Linked DNA regions of Elephas maximus indicus. The protein of the gene in region 3 interacts with the protein of the main gene of each other region in a pairwise test. Links are inferred from orthologs where the notes say so. Each region holds a gene or a part of one and is shown on either strand. Other genes may lie near its edges. The genes, in order: cytochrome c oxidase subunit 5B, mitochondrial; IL16; TFIP11; CCDC42.

What was found.
Region 1: the proteins of TFIP11 (region 3) and cytochrome c oxidase subunit 5B, mitochondrial interact in binary tests that used the Homo sapiens proteins (3 or more experiments, as listed by UniProt). The two-hybrid records come from large-scale screens. The link is inferred for Elephas maximus indicus from reciprocal best matches to the Homo sapiens genes TFIP11 and COX5B.
Region 2: the proteins of TFIP11 (region 3) and IL16 interact in binary tests that used the Homo sapiens proteins (3 or more experiments, as listed by UniProt). The two-hybrid records come from large-scale screens. The link is inferred for Elephas maximus indicus from reciprocal best matches to the Homo sapiens genes TFIP11 and IL16.
Region 4: the proteins of TFIP11 (region 3) and CCDC42 interact in binary tests that used the Homo sapiens proteins (3 or more experiments, as listed by UniProt). The two-hybrid records come from large-scale screens. The link is inferred for Elephas maximus indicus from reciprocal best matches to the Homo sapiens genes TFIP11 and CCDC42.

Annotation. Positions count from the first base shown.
Region 1 is NC_064835.1:88,116,734-88,123,904, forward strand, and holds cytochrome c oxidase subunit 5B, mitochondrial, read right to left. Parts: upstream 2,339-7,171; 5' UTR 2,275-2,338; coding exon 2,172-2,274; intron 1,665-2,171; coding exon 1,591-1,664; intron 1,414-1,590; coding exon 1,314-1,413; intron 716-1,313; coding exon 603-715; 3' UTR 511-602; downstream 1-510. UniProt on the Homo sapiens protein: Component of the cytochrome c oxidase, the last enzyme in the mitochondrial electron transport chain which drives oxidative phosphorylation.
Region 2 is NC_064831.1:71,286,607-71,294,259, reverse strand, and holds the start of IL16 (pro-interleukin-16), read right to left. Parts: upstream 3,012-7,653; 5' UTR 2,501-3,011; coding exon 2,461-2,500; intron 1-2,460. UniProt on the Homo sapiens protein: Interleukin-16 stimulates a migratory response in CD4+ lymphocytes, monocytes, and eosinophils. Primes CD4+ T-cells for IL-2 and IL-15 responsiveness. Also induces T-lymphocyte expression of interleukin 2 receptor. Ligand for CD4.
Region 3 is NC_064840.1:30,359,738-30,367,246, reverse strand, and holds the start of TFIP11 (tuftelin-interacting protein 11), read right to left. Parts: upstream 3,003-7,509; 5' UTR 2,925-3,002; intron 1,030-2,924; 5' UTR 1,021-1,029; coding exon 812-1,020; intron 1-811. UniProt on the Homo sapiens protein: Involved in pre-mRNA splicing, specifically in spliceosome disassembly during late-stage splicing events. Intron turnover seems to proceed through reactions in two lariat-intron associated complexes termed Intron Large (IL) and Intron Small (IS).
Region 4 is NC_064837.1:11,978,467-11,986,142, forward strand, and holds the start of CCDC42 (coiled-coil domain-containing protein 42), read left to right. Parts: upstream 1-4,670; coding exon 4,671-4,753; intron 4,754-5,076; coding exon 5,077-5,182; intron 5,183-5,431; coding exon 5,432-5,536; intron 5,537-7,342; coding exon 7,343-7,540; intron 7,541-7,676. UniProt on the Homo sapiens protein: Essential for male fertility. Required for sperm development.

The DNA.
Region 1 (7,171 bases), on a different chromosome or scaffold from region 3:
TCCTCTTTCAATTTATTTGTTGATGAAACCTAGTCATTGGTTCCCAGGACTGTCCCATATTCTGGATTTTGCTGATGGTATCCCCATAAGCTATGCTTTGAACCTGGGTTCCCCAGACTTCAAGGTCCCCAAAACTCTTCTTACAAGACCACCCTGTGAGGACCTACTATTTCCCAGGTTCTTTACATATATTAATACTACTTCTAACACCTCACAAGGTATTTGTCTGAGATGTAACCAAGCCTCAAAAAACACGCCGACAGTGACACAGCTAAATGATGGAGCCAGTATTATAAATCTGGTCATCTTGATGCCACAAGCCCATGCTTCCCCCACCAACAACTCCACATGGTTCCAATCGCTGCATTTTGTGATTATCGGCATAGTTTTATTGTTAATCCAAGCAGTATTGATTAGGCATTTTAAGTCTATAGGAAACTAGAAAAGATAGCTAATTCCTTACATAAGAATCATCTACGCCTCCCCAAAAAATACAGGCAAGAAATAAGATCAATTACAGGAGAAGGAGCCAACGCAACGGCTAGTCTTTATTGGGAAGAAGAAATCTTTACAACACGTTTAGAGTGAGTGGGTGCAGGGGCTCAGTGGGCTAGCTGGTGGGGCACCAGCTTGTAATGGGTTCCACAGCCAGGGCATCGGTGGGCCTCGCCTTTGTGCAGCCAGAACCAGATGACAACACTGTTGTCTTCTTCGCCTGAAAGGAAAACGGTGTCACAGGCTGTCTAGCCTGGAAGGGGAGGTTTTCTCCATTAATCTCTTTTCCTCAAAAACCTGAGACCCAAATAAAAATGATGGTTCACATCTGAGATCAGTTCAAGCTCTCTTCCCCATTTTTCAGATGAAGGAACTGAGGCCCTAAATTTACCTGAGACTATACTGACTTCACGTCAGAGTCACTATAGGTTCTAACTTCACTTGCCGAGTAGAACCCCAAAGCCAGGGCCATTTGGATATGCCTCCCTAGTACTGAAATGATGCCTGACACAGAGAAAAGACACAATAAATACCTTCTGAACGAATAACCCTTCTTCATGCTACATTTCCAGGAAACCCGTATTACTGACGTCCCATGCCCCTTTCCAGTAAGGATGACCTACTGAGGCAGGAGTCTTGGGGCCTGGATGTTTAGAACAACTTATTCACATACATATCCTCTTTACACTTCCACACTCACACGAAGACCTGAAGCAGCTTACAGATGTCCCGCGGAGTCCTTGGGTGGTGCGAATGGTTACGCACCCTGTACAGTAGGATGTATTACACAAACAAGAAAACAGTACCAAGTTACTTACAGATACAACCCACTAGTCGCTTGTTGGTGATGGAGGGAACTAAGTTAGGGTCTTCCAAGGTGCCTGCAGCTGCCTTTGGAGGAAGGAGATTGTATGGATCCTAAACAACAACAACAAAAAAACAATTGAGCCATTATGCCAAATGATCCCTATACTCTAGGAGCTCAGGGGGCTGTTCCCACAAGCCAGCTTTCTTGGCTCGGATGCTTCCAGAGAAGAGGCTGCTCTGATCCCATCCAAGCCGTGAGCTGCAGAAAAGGTAAATAAGTCTGCTTACCAGTCCTTTCCGCGCAGCCAACATCACCTCCCTCTCCAGCCCCGTCGCCTGTTCGTCGTCAGTGGGTACACCGCCTAAAAAAAGATACAGCGAATTATGATCAAAAGGAAAATGCACACTTAAATTTTTGCAGATTTGCAGAGAGCTCAAAGCTCCTAAAGGAAATCCTAGGTTCTCTAAGGTCCGTCAAGTCATCACCCTCAAAAGCGGCAGCACTGAGAATCTTTCCTTCCTCCAACCCCGAGGCCAGGTTTTTCACACTTTTTCTAAACGGAGCCTGGTAAGAGCCCTACTTAGTCATCGAGCCTGAGGTGGGCACGGGTTTGAAGGGCGGCCCGGCTCCGGCCCTCCAAGGTCACCCGACGCCTCCATTTAGGATTCTTCCGCGGCGGGGTCAGTTCGGTGGGCGACGGCAAAGGCCCGGGACCACAGGGAGGCTCCCGCGGGACCTGAACCACTCGGGGCCGTGGGGTGATCACTGGGGCCCCCAGGAGCCGCACAGCCGGTCCCGCTCTGCTGCCCCAGCACCACCCCGAGTGGTCAGCGGCGCTGGCCCCTGGCGCGCCCGGCGGGCCGAGTACCTCCAGATGCCATGGAGCGCAGGGCGGCGACCCCATAGGGACCGCGAGCCCTCAGGGCCTGGGCGGCCAGCGCTCCAGCTCCGCGAAGTAACCTTGAAGCCATGACGCCCGCGGCAAGCAGCTGCACTTCCGTGAGGCGCTCCCAAGTGGGCGGGGCTTCCGGTGGTGGGCTTATTTTCCGGTCCTGTCAGCTTTCCGCTTCCTCCCCGCCCCGGGCCCGCCCACTCACGTGACTTTGGCGGAACTTGTGTGGAAGAGACGGACTGCGCACGCCCGACCCTGCCTGTCTCCGCTCCCTCTGCCGCGCATGCTCGGCGCCGTGTCGGTGGCCGCCGGGCATCTGGTGTGGCTTTGGGGCGGCTCCGTGGTCTCGGTTGTACGCTTTCGGGGTTTGCACTTTACTAACGCTAAGATTTGGGCCAAGTCGTTCAGTTCCTTATGTGTAGAATGAGGCAATCCCATTGGAGTTACTGTGCATCTTGCCTGATAGTTGTGCTCGATCGCGTCTGTCCAAAGACTTGCTGAACTTAGAATGATTTAAAAACGTCCAAACCAAACCCCTTGCAGTCCAGTAAATTCAGACTCAGCAATTACCCTATAGGATTTCCAAGGAGCAGCTAGTGGATTCCAACTGCCAACTTTTTGCTTAGCAGCGGAGCTGTGGGAGAAAAAAAAAAAAGAAACCCGTTCCATGGAGTAAATTGACTCATAGGGACCCTACAGGACAGAGTAGAACTGCCCCATAGGGTTTCCAGGGAGTGCCTGGTGGATTCGAACTGCTGGTCTTTTGGTTAGCAGCCGGAGCTCTTAACCACTACGCCACCAGAGTTTCCACCGCAGATAATCCCAGTACCCAGTGCCGTCGAGTCCATTCCGACTCATAGCGACCCTGTAGGACAGCATGTAAATTGTAAATTGTACTACTTGGAAGGAATATACAGAATCAATTTTGTAGGACTTCTCTTGGCCCACTAAGATTAATATGAGGCAAACTGGGGACGATTGAAGTCCCAGGCATTCCCACCTGTCAGGTTGTTGTTACTGTGTGCCATCGAGCCAATTCCAACTCAAAGCAATCCTATAAGGCAGAGTAGAACTGCCCCGTAGGGTTTTCTAGGGTGTAATCTTTAGGGGAGCAGATTGCTAGCGCTTTTCTTCTGCAGAAGGGCCTGTGGGTTCAAACCGCTAACCCTTTCGGTTAGCAGCCAAGCACTTACATTGCACTACCAGGGCTCCTTGTCCCATGCAGGTATTGAAGATACTTTAAAAGGACCTAGTGGAGTATTCTTGGCTGAGAATCACGGCTCTATCCTCAAATAAATACCTTTAAACAAATATATACATATAAAATACAAAAATATATACTATGTAAGTTATTAGTTGCTTTTTTCGTTTAACAAAATATTTTGTGGACATCTCTCCAGATCAATACATAAGTTATAGATACATATAGATATAACATATAGTGTATAAATGGTACATAACTGATTTAATATATAATCAACTCAACAGCGTACAATAATTGCTGCATATATTATCACTGTGACATAATTTACCCGACCGTTTTCCCCTTGGTAAATATTCAGATTGTTTCCAGTTTTTTGCCACTCAAACAACACTGCAGTGCATGTCCACGTATCCTTACGTTCTGGAGTTTTCATTTTCTGAAGGACAGTCAAAGGGTGCACACGTTTAACATTTAATAAATCTGCCAGATTGTTTTCCCAAACGTTTGGAGCAATTCATGTTTCCACCAGCAGAGGCACATGAGAGCCAGTACCAACTCCCACGTACTGAGAGTTACCTGCCTTCTGCAAAGTGTGCCCACCTGTTTGGTGAAAAATGATGCTATCAGTGCTGGTGGTATTTACGTTTTCAGCTCCTGTACCTCTAAGACGGTTGAGCATCTTTTCACACGTTTACTGGCCATTTGCATTTCCTCTGCTGTGAACTGCCTGGCTCAGCCACTCAGCAAACTGCTTAACCTCTTTTTGCCTGAGTTGTTTCACTTTCTTTAAAATGGGAATAACACCTCTCTCTCAAGTCTGTGGAGCCCTGGTGGCACAGTGGTTAAGAGCTTGGCTGCTAACCAAAAGTTCGGCAACTGGTGGAGGGAACTAGACCCATGACGGCAAGGGTGGCTTTAAGACTTTCCCTGCACACCTTTTGTATTATTTTCAGTTTTGTTTAACTATGTAAATGTATTATTTATTCAAAAATAAAATTAGTATCTTGAAAATTGGCTATCATATTCTTATTTTGGGGTGTTGTTTATCTTTTAATTTTCAGGAACTCTGAATAGTAGGAAGATTATGTTGAGTTCTCGCCATGGACCAAGGCTGGTCCATAATCAAGAGTAAAATGCAGTTTCTGACTGAATTTATCACAAGAAAGTGGGAGCACGTGGTATTTTTTATTTGGGGCAGAGGCCACATAAACTTGAAATAATGGTATCCAAAAACGAACTTCGTCTGTGTTTTTGTTACCCAGAGGAGCAGCTCCGAGCTCTGACTGGACCACAAAGGCCCTGACCACTCCAGAAGGTGTGTGTTGGGTCAGTTCTTAATGACACCGGTAGTGGTGGAAGGAAGCTGCTGAATGCAGGCCTGCCTGGACCCTGAATCAGCAAGGACAGACCAGGCCCCAAAAGACCCCTATGGGGGCCTGAGGAAGATGTGAGGAAGTGGCTGAACCTCCACCAGATTTGGCTGGGGGGTAGGGGGGTGGGGGGGGGTGGGGAGGGGGGGTGTGGATGGCCTGGCAGGCTGCCCCTGAAAAGCCAGGTCAGAATAAACACAACATTTTTATGCAAATGCAAGAAACCCAAAATGAGTCACCTGGAACTCCTATCAGCATGGGGCCTGGCTGGAGCTGGGGCTTAGAGGAAGTTTCTAATTATTTTTTTTTTAAAGAAACAACAGGAGCCTGGTAAACCAGCAGGTCAGTAAAGGGTGCATCCCACAGGAGACAACCTGAATTGCCACCCTTCCCTTTCCAGACCCTCTGTCACCACTGACACCCTCCCCCCAGTCCTCTGGAGTCCCATTTATTCTTCCAAAGAGGAGCTTGAGATTCACCTGGGAAATCCTAGCATTCCCCTCTCCCCCAGGTTCACCTCTTCCTTCCCGTCTCCTTCCTCCAACCCTCCCTCCTCCCCCTCCTCTGCTGGGCCAGCCATGGGGATTCTTCTTTCCTAAGTCCTCAGGGGCCCACTGAACCACACAGACGGTTAGTAAAGGTCGGTTTACAAGGGCAGAGTTGAGGGAGCCACAGGGATGATGAGGACCAGGGATGGCCACAGTGGGATGCTCTGACCATTCCAGGCCTGAGGGAGCAAAGGGCGGACACGGCTTTACTGAAACTCTCTCCTGGCCCTGTATCACCCTCTGTATTGCCAGCATGTTCCAGTCCATCATTGTGGCTATTGTGCCAATCCATCTCATCGGGAGTCGCCATGAGTCAGAGCCAACTCGATGGTATTTATCTACCTAATAGCTCCCTCCAGCCTGCTGTGAAAATCAAATGAGGTAATGTTTGTGGAAGCAATTTGTGCACCGAAAAAGAGTTATTCTTGTGTTGGTTATTATTCTCAATTTTGCCTGGGGTTGGCTCTGCCTCTGCTTCTATATATTAAACTTTTAAATGGTGCTCATTAAAATGGGTCTACCAATATATGTTTAAAACATTTAAAACAGCAATAGTTTTCCAAAGAACAGTAACAAGTTCAGGCGGGATACTTTCAAGCTTTTTAATATCCCTTTTGACAACCTGAACTCTAGTAAATTAACCAGCCCAACCTCCTAGAGGAATTTCTCAAAGGAAGTAAAGGTCGAGCAGCAACAGTTGCTGGGAAGACATGCCAACACACTAGCACACTGCCTTTCCACCCATCACTCCTGTGCCCCCAAGTAGGTGCTTCCAGAGTCCCAGGGGTGGCTTTGGGCTTAGCTCCACCACCCTCCTGCCTGGAGAACCACCAAGAAGATCGTGGATTAATTATTCATGATGCCTAATTAAAAATCAGTGCGCTCACACTGTTGTTACTGTGGGCCTTCAAGTGGATTCCAACTCATAGCGACCCTACAGGGCAGCGTGGAACTGCCCCATCAAGTTTCCAAGGCTATAATCTTTAGGGAAGCAGATCTCCAGGTCTCTTCTCCCATAGAGCAACTGGTGGGTAGGAGCCATCCACATTTCGGTTAGCAGCTGAGCCCTTAACCACTGTGCCACCAGGGCTCCTTTCCCAAACCATAGGGCATAGGTTTTAACTGATGGCATGACCGGCAGGGGATAAAAAGGGATGATGTGTGTAAATGACCTAGCTCTGTCAGGCACAGCATTGGCTCAACCAGCACTTGTTGAATGTGAATGAACAAACATGACATCCCCAAAAGCACACACTCACACACATAAACACATGCCCAGGACAGATCTGTTCTCAAGACAAAACGTGGTGAATAACAATCATGTTGTTGTTTTGTTACCTGCCGTCAAGTCAGTTCTGACTCATAACGACCCTATAGGACAAATTAGAACTGCCCCATAGGGTTTCCAAGAGCAACTGGTGGACTCGAACGGCTGACCTTTTGGTTAGCAGCCAAGCTCTCAACCACTGGGATGGTGGTTACTAGTGGAGTGCTCTAAACATACACCTGTAAAGCCTCACCTCTGGAAAGGTCTTAAGTGATCGGTGAAGAGAAAGAGGAAATACTGTGGGGCACTTCTACTCTGTCCTATGGGGTCGCCATGAGTTGGAATCAAATGGACAGCAGTGGGTTTGGTTTGGGTTTTTTTTTTAACTGATTGGACTGCCCGCCATAACAGCTACAGTCTGTTCTGGGTTCAGAAATCTTGACACAACTCCCTTCCATCGCTGTGATGTTGGCGAGTGATCCATTTCCCTGCATAGCTCAGTGTCCTCATCCATAAATTGATTTAGTAGTTTAACACGCGTAAAGCACACGGCACAGTCCAACGGCTCCATCAACACAAACTATTGG
Region 2 (7,653 bases), on a different chromosome or scaffold from region 3:
TGGTATGGTTTCCCTATGTGTTGTAAAGCCTATCACTATGATGTAATGCGATGGATTAGTGGCAGTTATGATGATGAGACCTACAAGATTAGATAGTGTCTTAAGCCAATCTCTTTTGAGATATAAAAGAGGGAAGCAAGCAGAGAGACATGGGGACCTCATACCACCAGGAAAGCAGTGCCAGGAGCAGAGCATGTCCTTTGGACCTGAGTCTCCTCTGCTGACATGCTCCCAGACCAAGGGAAGACTGATGACACAGACCTTCCTCCAGAGCTGACAGAGAAAGCCTTCCCCCAGAACTGGTGTCCTGAATTTGGACTTGTAGCCTACTTGACTGTGAGAGAATAAACTTCTCTTCGTTAAAGACATCCACTCATGGTATTTCTGTTATAGCAGCACTAGATGACCAAGATATCAACCATGATGTCCTTTTTTAGCTATTGGTCTTTTCAGATGATGTGTCCAGATTAGGTGAGCTAAAGTCTCACCATCCTCACTTCTAAGGATTGCATTTGTATTTGTTGGTTCTGTTTCTTCTAAGACCAATTTGTTCATTCTTCTAGCAGTTCACAGTATATTTAATATTTGTCACCAACACTACAAATCAAATGTGTCAATTCTTCTAACAACTACCCTCAGCCAAAGAGACCTGCCTTGCCCAAGGCTGTGCTCTGGCCCCAGGGGCAGCCCACATCCTATAAGAGGTCAATGCAGGGGCCAAACCCCATAGAATTAGCTGAGGCCTATGTTACAACAGCATCACAGCCCAACTTCTCCCCCTGTCCAGTTCTGCCTCTTTCCCGGTCCCAAGTGTTATTCCTGAGCACACTGTCCAGTCAGCTTTCTCCGCACAAATCTCTGCTTTAGTCTGTTACCAGGGAAGCCCAACCCAGGGCAGGCACGCAACCAGGTACAGGAAATGGCACAACCTCCCCATAAATAAAAGTGAATAAAACACATTCACCAAACATTGAGCACCTATGAAATACCAGGCCAAGTCCTGCCCTGGAAGATTCCTCAGTATAAGTAAATGCATTGCTGTGTCTCCAAAAGGAGACATTCCAAGTGCTTACTCCACTTTCTGCAAGAGGGAGAGGCCCTGGGCTACACTGCACCCTCATGTAGTCTTTTGCTCTGGGTGCTGTGTGATGGTGGCTCTGGGTCAAAATAGGAGAGCAGCTTGCCTGTGGGTGTTGACATATTCCCTCTGTCGTACAGATGCAGTTCGGGGCATTGCACAAGCTTTACCTCACTGAATGCTTTTATGGTCCTGCAAGGTAGGAATTTATTATCCCCATTTTGCAAATGAAGAAACTGAGCCATAGAAGAGGCTTAAAAAGATCCCGAAGATCAAGTAGTGGGTTACTCTCAGAGCTAAGGTTCACCCTTAGGTGGCCAGATCCCCAGTCTTGGTTCCCAGTCCCCACCCTCCACTGCCTTCCTTCAGAGTTCAGAGGATGGTTTAATGCAACCAAACCAAATGGATCCAGGATTCTCGCCGTATCTCCCTGGAGCTGAAAACGTCAGAATGTGCCTCCGACTCGCCTCATTTCCCTTTTTAAAGAAAACCATGTGTTTACTCTCTTATGCCAAAGTTACAACAGAGCTGAAGTTTTGCCAGTGTCGACTTTAAAAGTTGGGCAACGGGGTTCAAATCCTTTTCTCTGATGCCTGCTCATTTATGTTTCGGGAGCAAAAGAAGAAGGCTTTTATAAGGAACGATCAGTGGGGCTACACCTGCAGGAAGGGAGGGACCCTGGCCGGGGTTCCCGGGATCCCCCCACCCCCCCAGTTCTCAGGTCTGCGAGGCTCAAGGGTCCCATCTGCTCCAGGGACTTGCACTCCGCTCTCCCCATGGGGCTGAGCAGCTCCCTCTTCTGTTCTGCTTCATGCCGGAAGAAAGCAAGCCAGAAAGCCGAGCAGAGCTGGTGGGGATCCTGACAGCTACAGCAGTGAAACACAGATGCTTCTGCCCCTGAGCATTGCCCTAGGCACTCCCAGAGAAAGTGGGGGCTTGTAGGAACCACTGCCTTGTCCAGGGCTGACTCTCAACGCCCGCCCCCCGCAAGAGGTCCTGCGATACTCGGCTCACCCCTTTGCAAGCACAGTGAGCACACAGCTAATTTCTGCAAGGACACCCCAGACAGCAGGGACTGTGCCCGGCTGCATCTCACACACACACACACGTGCATGCACACATTCACACACTACACATGTGTGCACACATACTCTCACACATACACATAACACACACACAGCCCCACATGTGTGTGCATGAACAATCACACACTTACATGTGCGTGTACACATACACACACTCACACACACACACACACACATACACTATACCACTTAACCAAAACCATGCTTTCATGCCTCCGAGAGGGTGTCAGGAAAAGTCAAATCCTCCGTTTCCACCTCCCATGAGCCCCGGGAGACAGGCGAAGCAGCTCCACTTACCATTCTCCCATGGCAGGAAAACTCTCTTCTGCAAACTCATGACTCCGGGTTTCCAGGATGAGGGAAAGCGGGAAAAGTCCCTCCAAACCAGGATTCAAGACCGTCGTGGGGGACCAACGGCAGCTTCTATGACTGAGAGTATTTGAATAGGAGTTAAAAACTACAAAGTAACTCCTCGTTAGAACTGTTTCTCCTCCACAGGGAGGGGAAAAAAAAATCCCTTCCCCTTCTGCCAACAAATCTTTAACGTTCAGAACAGTCGCTTCCAACTCCTGCCCTCCTTGAGAAGCAAATGTGTGTAAAGGCAATGTTATTTCACTGAATCAAGCCCTCAGATCATAACCCTTTTCCTGTACCACAAACAGAAATGTAAAACCTCAAACATTCCTCTGGACTCGGAGTCTGTTACGAGAGGGCAGAACGCAACTCCTTCTGAGGTTTAATGTATATGGAAAATGTGCTAAACTGTTTAGATCGTCCCAAGTACTCGAAACTCGGCTCCCCCTCCCGACTTTTTTTTTTCTAAATGAGTTCTTGGTGTGTTTATGTAATTGCAAGGGACAAACACAACACCTAAAACCCTTGCCCAGAGTTGCAGTGATTCATTTTCTCCTTCATACACGCCACACACAAACACAGCGCCTGTTTCATCCAACTGAAAACGCCTTTCATAAAATCTGCAAAGGGCTTGGGCAGAGCAACTCCTGGTAAATGCAGCCTGTGTCCCGGGAAGGGCAGTTGGGCTGGGGGGCAAGTGGAAGCTGACTTTAATTAAGACAAACAGAAGGCGCTCTGACTCCTGCCCAAGGCAGGACAAGAAGGGACTATGGAAAAGGGGACATGAGCCCTGGTGACTGGGATAGCAAACGCCTTCAGCCCACTCAGACCAGTTTTGCCTGCTTGCCTTCTCATACCAGGAGGTTTTATTTTTGGACTTGGACAAGATGAACTATTATTTTAAATGACCGATTTTTGACTGCTGGGTAAAATGAGCCTCCGCCTATGCCCTTGGGTCCCCACCAAAAAAGCCAAAAGAATATACAGTAGGTGGCGAAATGGTCACGGCTAAAAACGGGGAAAGAGGACATTCACACGTTGAAGGGTGTGACGATTTTCTGGACACAGCTATAGGAGATTGGATTGGAGGTAGGCCTGCTCTGTTTGATAGAAAGAGAAAATTTCACTGAGAAGCAAGCGAAACCGGCCTTGGTTCTGTTCCTGAGTTACCTGTCACCTGAGAAGTGCCCCAGGCCTTCTTGGAAGAGGTCCTTGCTCTGGCTGCCACTGACTCTTGGACTGTGTCATTGCCGCCACTCAGGATTTTGAAGAGCTGCAGGTTCACCATCCATCAACACGCCTCCAAGTCACTGTGAGGCTTCCGCCCGCCCACCCCTTCCCCACTACACACACACCTATGCACACGCACGCCTTAGATCATCCTTTATCAAGGCAATATTGCAGGTTGCCAGAAACAAACAAACAAACAAAACCTCTGCAATCAGCACCTGGAGTCCGAACAGCTCCCCCAAAGCAACCCTCATCCCAGGGTGGACCGGGTTCCAGAGCTGGCACTTCCCTGCGGCCAGCCCTACCTTCCTCTAATTAACTAGTTAGCTGCCCAGGCCATGAACTTCGGGATGCCACGGCTGTGCCGTGAGCTTACCTTGAGGGCCAGAAACTGGCCTTTTGTTTAAGGAGCACCCAGCTGCAGCAACAGTGATGGTGGTTGTTGTTAGGTGCCCTGGAGTCAGTTCCAACTCGTAGCAACCTTGTAGGACAGAGTAGAACAGCCCCATAGGGTTTCTGAGGAGAGGCTGGTGGATTTGAACTGCTGACCTTTTGGTTAGCAGACAAGCTCTTAACCACTACGGCACCAGGGTTCCAGCAACAGTGGAGATGGGTTTAATCTACTAAGGCAATGACGATGACGTGATAGGCTGAACTGTACATGTGAAGACTGCTGAAATGGCAAATGTATTGCTACGTACATGTTTACCACAATAAAAAATGTAAAAAAAAAAAAAAGAGAGAGAGAGATGTTATAAGGGAAGCAAGTGCTTAAGAGGCAAAATGTAAAAAAAAAAGAGAGAGAGATGTTATAAGGGAAGCAAGTGCTTAAGAGGCACTGGGTTTCTGTTAAGGGTGACAAAAAAGATTGGAAACAGTAGTGAACACAATTAATGCCACCGAACTGTGCTTATAAAAATGTTTGAGATGCAAATCTTTTGTATATATACTTTACCACCATGAAAAAATGATGTGATAAAGTAATATTTATTGTTGTAGAAATATGTCTACGTTGTATTGCTAGGTAAATAAATAAATCAGGTACAAAGTGAAGTGTATAGTATGATCCACATACTTGAAAAAAAAGTGAACTTTGGAGATGTAATATTGAGGGGTTTTTTTCCCCATGAGTTGTCTTTTTCTCCAACATCCATTTGGGTTTTCCAAAATCTACTATGTTACCCCACGCAGCAATTGGTGTTTTGTTATGCAACAATGTATTGCATAATACGCACCAGCTTTCAATTCACATCATCTCTTAAAAAAAAAAAAATTAAGTCAGATCACTTGCATTGGAACTCCTATGTAGACATCGTTAAATCAATAGCTGTGACTCTGATCTTGAAAGCCGTGGATTTGGATGACAGACACGCACTTAGCCTTGGAGAAAGGAATTGTTATCTGGCATGGCAGGCAGAATAATGGCGCCCCCAAAATATTCACATCCTTATTCCCAAAACCTGTGAATAAGCATATTCACATAACGTAGCAATGTTACACGGCCAGGGGGAATTAAGGCTGCAAATGGAATTAAGATTGCTAACCAGCTGGCCTTAAAAAAAAGAGATTATTCTGGGCTATTAGGGTGGGCCCAATGTAATCCAAACGGGTCCCTTTAAAGTGGAAGAAGGAGGCAGAAGAGGAAGTCAGAAAGAAATCTGAAGATGCTGCACTGTTGGCTTTGAAGATGGAGGAAGGGGCCATGAGCCAAGGCATGCAGGCAGCTTCTAGAAGCTGGAAAGGGCAAGGAAATAGATTCTCCCCTAAAGCTTCCGGAAAGGAATACAGCCCTGCAGATACCTTGATTTTAGCCCAGTAAACTCCTTTCCGAATTCTGACTTCCAGAACTGTAGGGTAATGTCTTCATGTTGTTATAAGGCACTAAGTTCAAGCTAAGTTGTTACAGCAGCAATAGGAAATGAATACACTTAGGTTTATTTTTATTTCGTTGGTTTCTTTGATGTCAGAGGCTTGTCTTTGACTCTGAAGAGCAGAGCCTGGAGGACTCAGGGTACAAACTTCACACCATGAACCATAGATCCGCGAAAAACGTAGGATGATATAAAAGCAGCTCTTTTGTTCTTTTAATCCAAAAAAAAAAAAAGACAAAAGTCTGCCCAACTGGAAGGAGGATGAGGTTCAAAAGGCACAGGTTGGGGCCTTAGAAGGATGCATCTACTGTGCCTCTTCCTGAGGTTGGCACCAAGAGACAGGGCAGCACACACTGGGGACAGGAGAGCCAGGGACCTGTGCCCCACTTCCTGTCTGGAATTCCAGGAGGAAGGTGCTTCATTTGTGTGCCCTGAGCCCACCTGGAATAGAACTGTCCACCTGGGATAATTAGACAAATGTCTTGGGACAATCTTCTGTGTCTGCTGAGGAGGTAAAGGTACAGTTGCAATTCCCTGTGCCTTGGAGAGGAACCCAGAATTGCCAGAACGTGCCAGCCAACCCAGGGAGCCCTTGACAGTTGGATGAGGAGGAAGCAGAGTGAGCTGCATGGATCACAGAACCGGACGCCTTGGCAGCCGATGTGGTGAGGATGGAACCTTCCAGACAAAGCTAACAGGCTCCTTCTGCAGTGAGTGCCAGCAGAGAGGCCAGCGGGAGCCACGTCGCCCTCCTCAGCATCACCGTAGTACATTGTACCCCTAAGCCGAGCCCAGAGTGCACCTGAGGAGAAGGAGCAGGCAGAGAACCCTGAACTGACCGAGCAGTTACCCAGAGGAGACGGGAGTTTAAATCGAAGTGACTACATTTACTCCAAATTGGCAAAATAAATTATCCATCATCCGTGGAAATAAGGGCTTAAAGGGTTAGTTTGGTTACAGAGAAATAGGGTCACATGTTTGTACATCTGATCTTTTCTGTAAATAGCCTATCAGCTATACGCCAGCCAGTTATCACTGGCTAATGGGCTTATGGGTACTTTTTATTTTTTCATTTCTTCTCTTCTGTATTTCCTAATTGTTTTTTCCAAAAGGAACAGGTTTGCTTTCTAGAAAAAAAAGTGTGTGTGTGTGTGTGTGTGTCTGTCTGTCTGTCTGAAGTCCTAGTCCTTGGAGAAGGCCCCTGGGTAGTGCAAATGGTTTGTGCTCAGCTGGAAACCAAAAAGTTGGCAGCTTAAACTCACACAGCAGTGCCCTGGAAGAAAGACCTGGTGATCCGTTTCTATAAAGATTACAGCTAAGAAAACTCTATGAAGTAGTTCTACTCTGTAACACAAGGTCACCCTAAGTCAGAACTGACAGCACAAGACAAGGGTCCTTGGGAGGTCAGAGCAATACACAGATGCGGTGACTGTATTCTCGATGAGGAAAGGGTTTTTGTTTGGTTCACTGATTTATCCCAAGTGCCTAAAACAGAGACTGACACATAGTAGGCACTCAAGAAATATTTGTTGAATGATTTTCTTAACCAGCCAGCATGCTCCTGAGACATCCCAGAGGCCAAGTTCTGCGTTGATGACATTTTGTATCTTATCCTGTGTCTTCCCAGGGGCTTTGGTGGAAAATCAAAGGAGGGGCGTTGGGAATTGCTAACTGGACACCATGTCTTTTGGAGTGAATTTCCCACGTTTGCAGCAGTGGTGAAGCTAAGCAAAAGCTGTGAACACGTGCTTTTCAGCCTCTTGGTTTGAGGTTCCCATGCAGATATATCTGAGATGGAAGGTCCTTGACACTGATGTCTGAGTTTCTGGCCACCACCAGCTCCATGCAGAAGCCACCAGATCACCAAGCTTCCACGAACAGCTCCTCCTTCTTGAAATACGTCCCCCAACCCCAGGTTAGTGCGAATGGGCTTAAATGGCACAACCTCAACTGCAATCTCAAATTATAAGAGAAGGGATAGAATGTAGGGGGTCCTACACTGGGGAAGATTGTCTATTTTTTCCATCCTTTCTGT
Region 3 (7,509 bases):
AATCCAAATCAGTTCCACGCTCCTGTCAAGTGAGCTGTGGTCCCTCACGCATGGTCTCACGCTGTGTTCAGGAAGGGAGGGGAGACTTTGAGCCTGACTCCTCCATCTCCCTGCCCCCATCCTAGCCTGGGCCTCCCCCACCTCTGCAGAGCACTGCCATGGCCTCCTTCCGGAGCTCCCACTTCCACTGTAGCTCCATGCCTATTCTGCACATCAGCAAAAGAGCCTTCTTCAGACTGCACCACACTTCACTCTCTCTACCACCACCTCCAGGCCCCTAAGGACTTGACCTCCGGCCTCCCCTCCCATATGCTCCCCCTCCCTCTCTCCACTCCAGCCTGCAAAACCTTTTCTTTTCCTTGTGGATACCCTGCTGCCTCCAATCTAAGGCCTTTGCATCCTCCTGCCTCTCCTTCTACTCCAGTTACCTTCTAGTTCCATATCAGCTCAAGGGTCACTTCTCCAGAATGACCTTCCCTGACCTCCCTGAACAGGTCAAACACCCTGCTCTCCTTCAGGTCTGAAATCACAGTAACAGACTTCCAGTGTTTGTGTGAAGGGTTGATTAATGCCTGTCTCCATCCACTAGATGGATCTGTAGCCCGGGCCTGACATACAGTAACTGCTCTATAAACACTGACTGAATGACTCAATCAGCAAGAGCGGCATTCTCGCCTGAAGAGGAAAATGGACCTCCCTAGCTGATGTCACATACCTAAAGGACTCCAAGAGGCCACAAGGTCTACCCAGCGCCCTCCATCCATCTCTCCTTCCCTAAAGCAGGAAGAGCCAGCCCCACGCAGGCCAGTACCGTTTGCCTCCAAAGCTGGGTCGCTCCTCATCTGAATCTCGCTCTGCCCACACCCCGTAGGTGGCCTCTTCCTTGGTCTGCCAGTGGCGCTGCCGGTTGGGGTTGAACTCATTCTGGAGATCCCAGTCGGTGATCTCAAAGTTCTCATGCTCATCCTCGTCCTCATCCATGTGGCCTTCCCCGTCCCGGTACAAGTGGGACAGCGACATGGCCCGTCACTAAAGGAAGGGACAAAAAGGGCAGAGTCTGTGAAAAGTCCTGGAGGCAGCAATGGAAGGCTTCCTGTGAGTCCCTGCTCCTTGCTGCCTTCAGAACTTCTATGAAACTCAAAGTCTGTTAAAATCATTGTTACTGTTCAATAAAGTGGACAGTTAAAGACATATTTCAGGAAACAATCAGTACTACAACAGGTGAAACAAAAGATTAATGTCAACCATCTGTGATTCTTAAAAAATATGCATTTCTCTGTCCTAGTCAATGCTGTAAGACTTCACCCACATATATACAAAAGCCACACAAAAACAACTAAGTAAATACGTTCTTCTATATATTATTGCCTCAGAAATTGGGTGAATATCTTCCCAAACCCCCGATTTTATTACTATTTTCAATTATTGAAATAGTTGTATCTGGACTCTTGGCATGGGCTCAGGAGAGTGACTTTTTCTTTATTGGTGGGGTGGGGGATGTACTTTCTGAAATAAATTACTTGAAGAGACAGACTCTTAGAGTTATCTCTCTCTATTTTCTTTCCCAAAAATGAACCTTTTCTGATGAGTTGGAAGGCAGCCGTAATTAAGAACACTACCTTAACAGTCAGGCATATGTGGATTGGAATAGAGACTCTACCTCTTGGTGGCCGGGTGATGGGACTTGGTTGTCTCTTTCTGAAACTGGGATTAGCTACTGTACCAACCTTAGAGAATATAAGGTGGTATTCAATGAGATGGAGCTTAAAAAAATCTCTTAAAACAAAAAACCAAGTCAGTTGTCGTACATGACTCCAACTCATGACAACCCCATGTGTATCAGAGTAGAATTATGCTCCATAGGGGTTTTCAAGGGCTGATTTTTCAAAGTTGATTGCCAGGCCTTTCTTCTGAGGCACCTCTGGGTGGACTTGAACCACCAACCTTATGGTTAGCAGCCAAGTGCCTAACTATATGCACCACCCAGGGACACCAAAACCACTCAACTCATAATAAATGCTCAAAGAATAGCTGCTGCTGTAGTCATCACCCTGGTTAAGTTTATCATTGCTACTATTATTGGATTAGAGAATGAACCTAGGAAGGTGATTATGAAATCAATCAGGTGCTAAAATCACAGCCAGGGTTCAAATCTCAACTCCAACGAATACTCAGTGTGTGGGTGTTAAATGCACACGAAGTGTCAAGCATGGTGCACTGCATAGCAATACATTCGATAAGTGACAGGGACTGTGATTCTTCTCCACCAGTTGCTGACTACTTCCACAAGCAGTGTGTCAACCTCTGCTCAGCTCTGTCAGAAAGTTCCCCCCTTCTTCTTCTACTCACTGCTGCGGGTGCAGCTGGTCCCAACCTCATCCAGGAGTGCATAGGCGGTAAATGTTCTTGGAAGAGACTGGGAGTCCCAGATACATGGGAGTAAATTATACCGTTGGCTTCTGGGGCACAACCACGGTACTAATCAGAGTAGCTACGAGTTGTAGCGCCCTCAGTAGGTATTAAGTACCTGCTGGGCACTTCAGGTCGGCTACATAACGTAAGCACCAGGACACTTATACGAGGCAGATACTACTAAAGTTTCCACGCTTCAAATAACAAAAATGAGACGGGGGAGCGAAACAACACGCCCTAGGTTCCACGGCTAACAGAGCTCGAACTAGAGCCTGGCCTTCTCTCCACCCTGCTGTCCACGCTACGCGGAGGTGGCCCAGGTTCTTGACTCGGCCCTGGCCCTGGCCTCAACTCCCGCGTAACATCGAGCGGCCCGGTCCCTCTACGGGCCTCGGCAACGCCGTCTGCGAGATGGGATCCTACACCGGTGAGGCCAAGACTGCCTTTCCCTCGCCCCACTCCCCGTGGCGCAGCTCTTTCTCAGCCCGTTTCCACTCCCCGACGTAGCTCACCTCTCCGATGTCCCGCGAACCAAACACGGGCGTCTGTTCTACACCATCAACGCGCCACTCCGGCGGCCGGGACCCGGAAGCACTTAGTCAGGCGCGCCGGAAATGACGCCTGCGGCACTCACGGCTTGCGGGCTCCCATGGCAACAGTGGAAAGCCAGAACGTCTTGGGGTTCTAAAGCGGTGGGGCAGAGATACTAGAAAGGTAACCGGGATTTGTGGGTCCCCGAGCGGCCGCTTTGCCGTCATGTCCAGCTCCTTGTTGTGCCTGCCTCGTACGGCGACGCCCACCTACGATGACCCATGTGGACATCGCCGAGCCACCTCAGCCTAAGCAGCCCCAGATTCTGAATCTGTAAAATGGGGATATAGGACTAGCCCATAGGATAGTTGTGAGCATTAGTGTGAGACAGTAGGGAGCCCGGTACACGGCCCTCAAATGGGAGTAATGAAGGCCGCAACTGTGTCTCCTGTATCTTTAGGTCTTCAGTATAAGCACCATCGTGGGCGCAGAATCGTTGCCTTATAAAGGAGTTTGAGGGCGTACAGGAATAAATGAGCCAACTTTAGAGTTCCCAAGTGTTCTCTCCGGGAAATCGTTCCGTTCTTTTCCTTTCAAACAGGTTGATAAATAATTTATTCATTCACATATCTAATATAAATGTACAATGGGTCTAGCTAGGTGTGGGGTGCTGCTAAATGCTGCTTCCTAGAGGTGGGACGTGGGACAAGTTGCTTCACCTCTCTTCACCTCAATTCCACCATCTGTAAAATGGGGATAATGAAGGTGCTGATCTAAAATGATTATTCTCAGGACAAAAATGGACTAATTATTGCATGTAAAGCTCTTAGCACAGTTCCTGGTATAGTGAAAAGACAGTTGCTTACCAGTGGATTCTGGCGCATGCCAACCTCAAGTGTGTCGGAGTAGAACTGTGCTCCATAGGGTTTGCAATGGCTGATTTTTTGGAAGTAGATCGTCAGGTCATTCTTCCGAGGTGCCTCTAGGTGGACTTCAATCTCTGACCTTTTGGATAGCAGCCAAGCTTTAACCATTTGCACCACCCAGGGACTCCCTGGCATAGCAAGAGCTTAGTAAATAGCTGTGGCTATTTGCATTTAGAAGTCACAATCTCACACCCCTTTAACCCTCAAAGATAACATGGTTTTTTCAGGGTGTCTGGGCTAAAGTGACCAACCTCGGGAAAATGAGAAAAGGTGACCAGAAATCTGGATTCAGGCCCCTGAGTGATACCAGTCCTGGTCTCCTGTCACTGCCCAGAAAAAGCATTACTCTGGGACTTAGTGACATCCAGGCCGGTGCCTAGATTACCAGCGAGGTACTCAGACACGTGGCCTTCCCAGAGGGGGTTGCCAAGCAACAAGGTTCCTTGGCAGCAGCTTGACAGGGTCCTCTGACAGTAATTGGTCCATCCCTCTCCTTTTCACAGATGAGGCCATGGAGCCTGTTTTGAATTAAATTACGCCCTTCCCCCAAATATGTGTTGGAATCCTAACCCCTATACCTGTGGAAATAATCCTATTTGGAAATATGGTTTTCTTTGTTACTTAGCTCATACCCGAGTGGGGTGGGTTCTGTATCTAATTACTTCTGATTTATAAAAAGAACAAATTAGACACAGAGATACGGCAGGGGGAGTGGGGGCACTCTTTTAGCCTCCCAAATTGTGAGAAGATAAATTTCCATTCTTCAAAGCTACCCACTTCTGGTATTTGTGTTATAGCAGCACTAAGAAACTTAGAGGTCCTGGTACAGGGGACATGCCAAGGGCCACACAGTGAGTTTAAAGACAGAACCAGGCCTGGAACCCAGAAGTTCAGACTTCCAGGCCAGTGTTCTTCCTGGCATACCCTGCATACGGCCACACACCATGTGGGTCCACTCGGTTGAGCTAATACTTATAGAGTGATTCCAGTGTGTTCAGGGTCACACTGCCAAGCTCTCTGCATACATCATCTCTGCAATTCTTCAAATTTCAGAGATACTTCCTATTACCACCCCAGAGGCCACACTCCTAACCACCCCTTGCACAACCTCTGCCATATGGCACTGCTTCCATATTGCCTCCAAAAGGACTGGGAGGTGGGGGAAAATCCTTGCTCAGTTCCAACTTTAAATAGGTTGGTACCATAGAAACAAACCATAAGTGGCATTTCAAAGCTGATATATTTAAAGTCTATCACAAGAACTTTTTCTAGGACAGTGACATTATACATTTTCACATAGTTTATTCTTATTTTGAATTTTGTTCCAAAGCATAAATTCAGTCCTGAGTCTGGTAGAACTAAAAATCCAGATCAGCTGCTAATTAGCCCATTTGATTTCCCTTTATATGTTCCTTACAGATGTTTTCTACCCTACTTATTTTTTAAGACTTTGTAACAACTCCATCCTCATATAAAAAGCTGGGACACAAGGTGTCACAGGCCTGAGGCATTCTTTGTAAAACAAGCAGCCTCAAAAGCCACAGGCAAGCTGAGGAACCACAGCCTTCATCATTCATTCCCTAATTCATGTAGTTACTCATTAACAAATATTTACTGATGACCTGTGTTATTAGTTAGGTCCCTGGGTGGTGCAAACGGTTCATGCTTGACTACTAATCTAAAGGTTGGAGGTTGAAACCCACCCAGCCACACAGTGGAAGGAAGGCCTGGCTATCTGTTTCCATAAAGATTCAACCCATTGCCATCAAGTCGATTTCAACTCATAGCGACCCTATAGGACACAGTAGAACTGCTCCATTAGATTTCCAAGGCCGTAATCTTTATGGAAGTGGACTGCCACATCTTTCTCTTGTGGAGCAGCTGGTGGATTTGAACTGCTAACCTTTTGGTTAGCAGCCACGCTCTTAATCATTGCACCAGCCGGCCTCCTCCATGAGGATTACAGCCAAAAAACCCTATGGAGCAGTTCTTCAGTAACACGTGGATTCACCATGAGTTGGAATCAACAGCAATGGGTTTGTCTGTTTGTTTTTATAATTTTTATTGTGCTTTAAGTGAAAGTTTACAAATCAAGTCAGTCTCTCACACAAAAACTTATATACACCTTGCTACATACTCCCAATTACTCTCCCCCTAATGAGACAGCCCGCTCTCTCCCTCCACTCTCTTTTCATGTCCATTTCGCCAGCTTCTAACCCCCTCTACCCTCTCATCTCCCCTCCAGGCAGGAGATGCCAACATAGTCTCAAGAGTCCACCTGATCCAAGAAGCTCATTCCTCACCAGCATCCCTCTCCAACCCGTTGTCCAGTCCAATTCAGGTCTGAAGAGTTGGCTTCGGGAATGGTTCCTGTCCTGGGCAACAGAAGGTCAGGGGGCCATGACCACCAGGGTCCTTCCAGTCTCAGAGAGACCATTAAGTCTGGTCTTTTTATGACAATTTGGGGTCTGCGTCCCACTGCTCTCCTGCTCCCTCAGGGGTTCTCTGTTGTGCTCCCTGTCAGGGCAGTCATCAGTTGTAGCCGGGCACCATCTAGTTCTTCTGGTCTCAGGGTGATGTAGTCTCTGGTTCATGTGGCCCTTTCTGTCTCCTGGGCTCCTAATTACCTTGTGTCCTTGGTGTTCTTCATTCTCCTTTGCTCCAGGTGGGTTGAGACCAATTGATGCATCTTAGATGGCTGCTTGCTAGCGTTTAAGACCCCAGACACCACATTTCAAAGTGGGATGCAGAATGTTTTCTTAATATATTTTATTATGCCAGTTGACTTAGATGTCCCCTGAAATCATGGTCCCCAAACCCCTGCTACACTGGCCTTCGAAGCATTCAGTTTATTCAGGAAACTTCTTTGCTTTTGGTTTAGTCCAATTGTGCTGACCTCCCCAGTATTGTGTGCTGTCTTTCCCTTCACCTAAAGTAGTTCTTATCTACCAACTAATTAGTGAATACCCCTCTCCTACCCTCTCACCCTCCCATTCTCCCTCCTCTCATAACCACAAAAGAAATGTTTCCTTCTCAGTTTAAACTATTTCTCAAGTTCTTATAATAGTGGTCTTATACAATATTTGTCCTTTTGCAGACTAATTTCACTCAGCATAATGCCTTCCAGGTTCCTCCATGTTATGAAATGTTTCACAGATTCGTCACTGTTCTTTATGGATGCGTAGTATTCCACTGTGTGAATATACCATAATTTACTTACCCATTCATCCATTGATGGGCACCTTGGTTGCTTCCATCTTTTTGCTATTGTAAACAGTGCTGCAATAAACATGGGTGTGCAGGTTTGTTTGTTTTTAATGTACTAGTTATCTATTGCAGCACACCTCGAAGCTTAGCAGCTTAAAATAACAGTGAACATTATCCCAGCTTTTGTGGTAGGAGTCTGAGAATGGATTAGCTGGGTAGGGCTGGTTCAGGGTATTATGGGATTGCCGTGAAGATGTTGGCCAGAGCCATAGTGAATCTGAAGGTTTGAGCGGACCTGGAGGATCCACTTCCGAGGTGTTTTCCTGACATAGCTGACAAGTTGGTGCCGGTCATTGGCAACGGGCCCCAGCTCCTCGCCGTGTGAACCTCCTTTCGTAGGGCTGCGTAAGTGTGCTTTCTGTATGATGGCAGG
Region 4 (7,676 bases), on a different chromosome or scaffold from region 3:
TGTTTAGTTAGTTGTGTTCTTTGGAACTAGAAAATCCGATCCTAAAGTTGATCTGAGAAAATAAACTAGAATAGCCAAGAAGCTTCTGGAAAAGAAGCACACTGAGAGAGGACTATCCCTGAAACATATAAAAACACACGTAAAGCCTCAGTAGTAAAGGTGTGTGGACAGACAGGTCAACTGAACAGAGAGTGTCCATGGGGAAAAGCAGCACTAGTCCATAAATGGCTTAGGGACAGCTAGGCAGTCATCAGAAGGGAGGGAAAAAAAAAGTTTGATCCATACTATGGTAAACACCATACAGCTCAAAAATAAAAATGTAAAACACGAAACCCTAAAGGGATTTGAAAAAAACATGGGAAGACTCCTTAATAATGTTGTGATATGGAAACCTTCTCTAACTATGACTCAAAATCCAGATGCTATAAAAGAAAAGATTAAGGCATCTGACTACATAAAAATTAAAAAATTCTACAAGAAAAAAAAAAAAAAAACGCCTTAAGTCAAAAGACCAATAAAATAACTGGGAAAAGTATTTGCAACTCCTTTCTAATAAATAATGAACTCTTATAAATCTATAAGAAAACAGCCAACCAACCTAGTAGATTGGTGGACAAAGGAAGTTAGAGAGACAATTCATAGAAAAAGAAATACAAATGGATTGATCCAGAAATCCCACTTCTTGGAATTTATCCTGCCCATATGTGAAATGATATGTGAAATGATATGTATACAAGGTTATATACTGCAAAAAATTGGAAATAACCGAAATATCCATCAATAAGAGACCAATTAATTAAATTACAGAATATCCACATAATGGAACATAATGCAATTAAAAGAATGAGGAGACTTTTAATATATTGATATGGCAAGATCTCTAATATATATTATTAAGTTAAAAAAATAAGGAGCAAAACATTGTTTGTATGCTCTTTTGTGTAGAAAGAGTAAAAAATAAGAACATATTCCTATCTGCCTGCATTTGCATAAAGAAACTCCAGAAAATGCATAAAAACAGTTATTCGTGGGAAAGGTGTGAGAACTGGGTGGTTGAAAGAAGGGATAGTGATGAGGCTTTTCACTGTACACACTTTCTTTGAATTTTTGAACCACGAGGATAGATTATCTGTTTAAAACACCATATTTAAAATACTTTTCTATTTATCTCTGATATTCTTAAATTTCACTGTATATATTTAGATGTGTTTTTTGTTTGTCTCCTTAGATATAAGAATTTCAATCTCAAGTCTCCTCTTTCATACCCTCCATTTGTTTTTCCTTATGAAATTCCTATTATTATTTAGATTTGACATTTTTATTTCAATCCTCTGGACCTTAGCTTTTATTCTTTATCTCCTCCTGAAGCCTTCTGGAAGAGTTCTTAAAGATGGTCTTCTATTCATTAATTGTTCTTTAATTGTATCCATCCTGCCATTTAAAGCATCCATTGAGTTCTGTCGTCCACTCAGCTTTCCATTCAATTCGTTCTTCTCCATTCACGCTTGCTTCTCTTCATGTTCCCAACATCCTCCCTCATCTCTTTGAGGATATTTGTTATGTTTATTTTAAATTCTTATTCTATTGATCTGTTGGTTCTGTTTCCTTTGGACAGGTTGTTCAGTCTGTTATCTTTTATAAAGGTTGCCCCCCTCAGACATCTCATTGTTTTTCCTCATGAGCTCATGTGTGCTTGAGACTACGTTCTACCAACTACCTTGAACTGTCCCTGGAATGTTAAATGGCCTCCCTGCCCTGTTCTGCATATGTATGTATTCAGACAGCCTCTGGTGTTGCAGTCCAAGATCACCCACTCCTGTTTTGCCTCCCTTGACCAGGCAATACTGTTCCTCTGTAAACCTTCCAGAACCTTCCCCCCAGACATGGTTCTTTTCTAGGGGCTGCCTCCCTCTGTTGCAACTGCCTGCCCATGAAAGAGGGACCACTCAGGATTATCCAGCCTGAGTGCATTTGTGTCTGCTCCAGTGCTGCCCCCTCCTCACCCCACCACTCTGGGCTGACACTAAGTTGTCACTGGGATGATGCTGCAAGCTGTACAGTGAGCTTCCCAGGGCAATGTGCAGAAGAGAAAATGCCATGAGCTATCCACCATCCCTGGTACTTAGCCCTCTTCTGTTCTGGACTGCCATTTCTCACACACACACACACACACACACACAACCACATCCCACCACTTTCTGCCTCCCTAGGGTTTCCTCACAGTTTTTGTGTTCCGTTTGGTTAGCCATCCACCTCTCTCAGTTCTACAGAATCTCCAGGGACAGAAGCCCTGATCTGCAATCTTGTGGGAAACCTGAAGTTCACCTCATTTTTAATTGTGGCTTTTCTTAGTCTGCAGATGAAGCATAATCTTCAAGCCTCCATTTTTTTTTCTTCTATAAAGGAGACATTTGAAATAAACGATCTCAAGTTGTTCTAACTTTAAAATTCTGTGGTTCTGTGTGGCAAATGAAGTGACATAAAATATACCGAGATATTTTAAGACTACAGAGTTACCAAGGAAATAAAGAGGCACATGAGGGAATACCCACCAAGAGACAGTTATTAGCAAGAATGGATGTCAGGTTGAGAAAGTGGAGTGTCAATCAAGTTTCAGGGAACTAGGAGAAGGGGAGGATGTTGAGGGAGATACACAAGAGAAAGAGAAAGACACTGGTTAAAACAAGGTTTGGAGGAGAATCAGCAAATCTTGAGTATGACAAAAATAACTAACTACCATGGGGGCAGATGCAAAGATTTTTTTTTAATTTATTATGAGATATTTGAGACATAGGGAAAGGTGTAAAGAATAATGTAATGAACACTTGTGTTCCCAGTGCCCAAAATCTAACATATTACACATCACCAACAGCTTGCCCTTGGTTGACACCCTGGGTGCCTTCACCCAGCAACATGCCTTCTGAGCGGGATGACAGTGGGCAAGGTACTTAACCTCTCTGAGCATCCATCTTCTCATCCATAAATGGAGATGAAGATAATAACAGTACCTACCTTGAGGAGGTTGTTTTAAGAATTAAGTCAATTAGTGGGGTTAGTACTGTTAGTTCTGTTACTATCATTTATTCAGATGTTAAGTGCGCACCTTCATGGGTCAGAATTGTGCCAGGCTCTGGGGACAAACGATCAGAGAAACGTACTCTTCAAAGAGTTTACGGTTCTTATTGCCGTCGTTGCTCTTACCCTACTGGTTCTGACTCTCTAGGGCGCCCCGGGTGGAGAAGCCATCTCTGGTTTAGGGGTTTGTGGGGGGTGGGTGTTCTGGGTGGGAGGGGGGCTGTCCTGCTGTCTCTCCTGAGCCCGCCAGGCTGACTGAAAGCGACCGGGCTTGTGCTTCTGGCCTCAGAAATCCCCACTAAGCGGTCTATTCTGGGGAGGAGGTTGAGGGGAGGATGGAAAGGAGGAGGGTGGGGGGTGGGCAGCGCCCCTCCAGCACGTCTTTTCCTCCCCACGGGCGGGTGGCCAGCAGGGGGCGCCAGAGGACCAGCAATGCCGCTGAGAGGGCGGTTGCTGAGCTCCCTTCACGACGGGTTCGAGACCCCCACCCCACATGGGCTTCCCTTCCAGACAGAGAGCAGAGCCAGGACGCGTGGCCCGCGTGGGGCAGAGGAAGCCGCGCGAGAGCATCGAGGGAGCTTGGGAGCCTGTCCGCGGGCAGGAGCCAGCGGAGGGCCGGCCTGAACCTCCCAGCCGGGGTCTGCCACGGAGACCCAGGGCGCCTGCCCCACACGCCGGGTCTCAAATCTAGACGCTGAGCCTCACGGCCATATGAGTGCATGCATTTACCCTGACAGGGTCGAGGAAGGCAGCCATCACAAAGAAAACATTTGATGTGTGAAATATTCATAACCCTGCTTCGACATGTCTCCAAAATTTAATAATCTAAGAACTTCAAAATGAGGCACTGGTCCCGAATCTCTTGCCCCCTCCTCCACACCCTTGTTGGCCATATCTCTTCAGTCCCAGGCTTCTTGCATAGCCTCACACATCTAGACCGCACACACATCCTTCACCCACTAGCTAGTTGTCAACCTCAGGCCTCCTCCCACCTTCAGGAATCTCCAGCCCCTCTCCTGCACATCCCCAAAGGCCCATGTTTCTCTGTCCACCCTCACCCCTACCTCAGCTAAGCACCTCTTCTTCTTTCCTTTCTTATTTGCTATCTGTCAAAGGCTCACCTGAACCTGGGCGGGAGGCCTAGGAGCAGGGGTCCCTCAAAAGGACAATCCCATTTCTCAGCCAGGACACCCCGGCCCTGCCTCCCAGGCCTGGGCACCACGGCAGTACCTACTGAGGCCTAACTTCCTCCCAGAGTTCCCGAGGGGTAAGGGCAGGAGTAAGGAGCAGGACCCCAGCAAACATGAGGCCAGGAGGCAGAGGGCTAAGCACGAGTTCTGCGTGTAGTCCACAGAACCAAGCAGCCTGTTGCTAGGTAACCAGAACCTCACATCACCCCCCACAACACATCATCTGAGCCAGGGATTCTGTCTCCAGCTATCTTGGGCAGAGTCTCTCAAATACCTACCGCCCCTGTGGGACTCTGAAAGCAGGAGAAGAGAAGAAACCAGAGCCCAGCCACCACCCCTTGGGATCCGCCACCCACTATTTCACTGTGAGGACCCAGCTGACTGGGCCGTGAGGGCACCGCAGCCATGAGCCTGGGAATCATGGAAGAGGAAGATCTGGCCGAGTACTTCCGGCTGCAGTATGGGGAGCGGCTGCTGCAACTGCTGCAGTGAGTGTCTGAGAGCCCGCCCCATCTCTCTGTGCCTTAGACCACCGACCTATGCCTCACCTTCCTGCTCCCAGCCTGTCCCCGCCTCCTCCTATAACCCAGGGCTCCAGATCACCCTGACACCAATCCCCCCATCACCCTGCCTCAGCTCACTCTCCAAATGAGCACGCCTCTCTCTTCTCCACACCCCAGACCTTTCACTCAGGTAGGGGAGACACCCCCTTCCCTCCCCATGGGTATCTCTCTCCACTGGTTACTGCCCAGCCCCAACCTGCCTCAGGCACCCAGAGCCCACAGGCCCCTCTTGCCGGTGTCTTGGGCAGGAAGTTCCCCTCCACTGAGGAGCAGTCGGAGTCCCCATCCATCCGGCTGCTGGAGAAGAAAAAGGAGGCCAAGATCATGCACCATGCTATGGAGCAGAAGAAGGAGGTGGGCCAAGGGGACAGGGTGCTGGGGTGCATGTCTCTTCCCTCTGGGGAGAAGAAAAATGATCCGAGTCTCTGGTGCTATTGTTGTCCTGGGGTGCTCTGCTCCAAGCCAGCCATGGGACAGAGAGGGAGAGGTCTCCTATGAACCCTTCCGGGCATGGGAATAGCAGTTCTGGGCAGGGGATGCTGGGACCTTCCTCAGTACACATGTCTGAGGCCCTCTTGACCACTCTCCTTTCCCCACCCGCAGACATTTAAACGCAGGATGGAGGCCTTGAACCTGCGCTGGGAGGAGCTGGGCATCAAGGAGGCCCAGCTGACGGCCCACATCCAGAAGTTTGAGCAATTCATCCAGGTAGGTAGCGGTGTGACCTACTGTGGCAGCCAGTGGGACTCACACTCTGCTGTCCAGCAAACTGCCTTCCCTCCCTCCTCATCCCCCTAGCTTTTGCTGACCTTCTCTCCCTGGGTTCAATGGCTGGCTGTACTCCAGCAATCCTGATGCTTTCCCCCTTCCAATCCCTCATTTACAGCTCTGTTTGGAATTTCCTGTTTACCTGCCCCTTCTAGATTGCTGTTTCCTGTTTCCTTGCCAGTACCTAGTGAATGAACAAATGAATGAATATATCAGAATCAGGGCTGGGCCCTTGGGAATACAAAGATGAATAAGACAGGACCCATCCTTGCACTGAAGGTCCAGACAGGAAATGGTCAGAGGAGCAGGCACCAGAGTTCACTCCCAGACAACCCCTCTCAATGGGTCCTTAGAGGAGGGATTTAGTCATCTTAAAGTCCAGCCAGCACTTATCAAACCCTTAAGGGCCTGGCCCAGCTCCAGGGGCTCGTTGCTGCCCTTGGCCATAGAGGAGCCTACTCTTAAGCATCTTCCACCATGCTTGTGCCTAAACCAGACAGGAAAAGAAGCTGGCTGACTGGGGGCCAGTCCTTTTACTGACCAGAAAAAAGCTCATGGAGTGGTTGGAGCAGCAGGAGATTTGGGGGTGAGGGGTCCTCCAGATGGCTACTAGAGGACCAGCAGCACTGAGGTCCCTGAGAGTTTGTTACAGACGCCTGGACTCTCTTCTCTCCTTGCTTTCAGCAGGCGTGAGGTCAGTCCCAGGCATCTGTATTTTTACCAAGCTCTCCAGGGGTTACAGATGTACAGTCGGATTTGAAAACCATTGGCTTAGGGCCCTTGTCCTCTCCTGGGCTTAGGGAGCAGAGAACAAACCCCTGAGCACCTTCCTTCATGCCATCCAAATGCTGGGACCACACATGCCACCCATGGGGAATCAACAGGGCCCCAGGGAGGAAAGGGCCACACAAGTGCTGGGAGAGGGGTGGGTTTGCCTCCTACATCTTGGAGGGAGGGTTTGGCCGTAGGAAGGAGAAGGCAGGACTGGACACATTGCAGTAGCTGAGCCTCATGTCATTTTGGGTGTCAAATTGCCTATGCCATCTTCTCCAGCCCTGGCCTGGTGCCAGTCTGAGCCCCTAGGAACATGCTCCCTGGAATGCCTTATCCCCTCCGGTCCCCTGGACCAGGCCCATTGTCTGCCTCATCTCCCTGTAGTTCAAGGGCTGCTACCTCAGCTTTTGGAAGAAAAAGAAGGGCCACTGCCTTTCATTTATATAGTTGGAAAAACTGAGGCACCAAAGTTGGGAGAACATTCGGGCCTCCCAGCTATGGGCCCAGGAATTTACCCCATGACAAACGTCCACCACTAAGAACAGAAACAGGGGAAGCTTTGTCAGAAGGTTTGCTTCTGGAAAGTCCACTTCCGGGCCGTCTCACCCTTCCCCAGGGTTGAGCTGTCTCCAGAGACTGAGACGTGGGCCTCCGCATTTGGCCCCCTGAAGTCTGGAACTCCTCCCACAGAATCAGAATCATTTCCCAAGGCCACCTCTTAACTTGGGTCTAAACCTCCCCCCTCACAGCCTTCTGAACCCCAACTCACTCCACAGAAACCCCGTCAACTAGCTGCAGATAAGTTTGTAGACCCTTTTCCTGTGTGCCTCCTCTCCCAGTGGGCGGCCCAGCCTTCCCTGCCCATCCTCAGAGTGTCCAGAACTCAGCCAACCGGCCTTGCGAGGGCACCAGGGGGCTGAGGGCCCCTCCAGCCACTGGCAGTTCTGACTGGTGCCCCTGCTCCGGCCCCAGGAGAATGACCAGAAGCGGATCCGCGCCCTGAAGAAAGCCAACAAGGAGCGAGAACTCAAGAGGCAGCGCATGCGGGAGTTGGCCAAGGCCAAGCAGGAGATGGCAGCTCTGCGGCTGGAGCACCAGCGGCTGAGCTGCAAGCTGCAGGACTACTCCATCTTCAACAAGTACCTGGAGAGGGTGGTAGAGAACTCTGAGGTGAGTCCTGGGGTCGAGTGGGGAAGAGCCTTGGTGCCCACCTCAGCCGCACCTCCCCTTCCCCAGAGTGTGGGGCTATGGGTGGCATTTCAGCCTGAGCTAGCTGGGATTTAGGAGCTCCTGGGGGCTCTGTGGG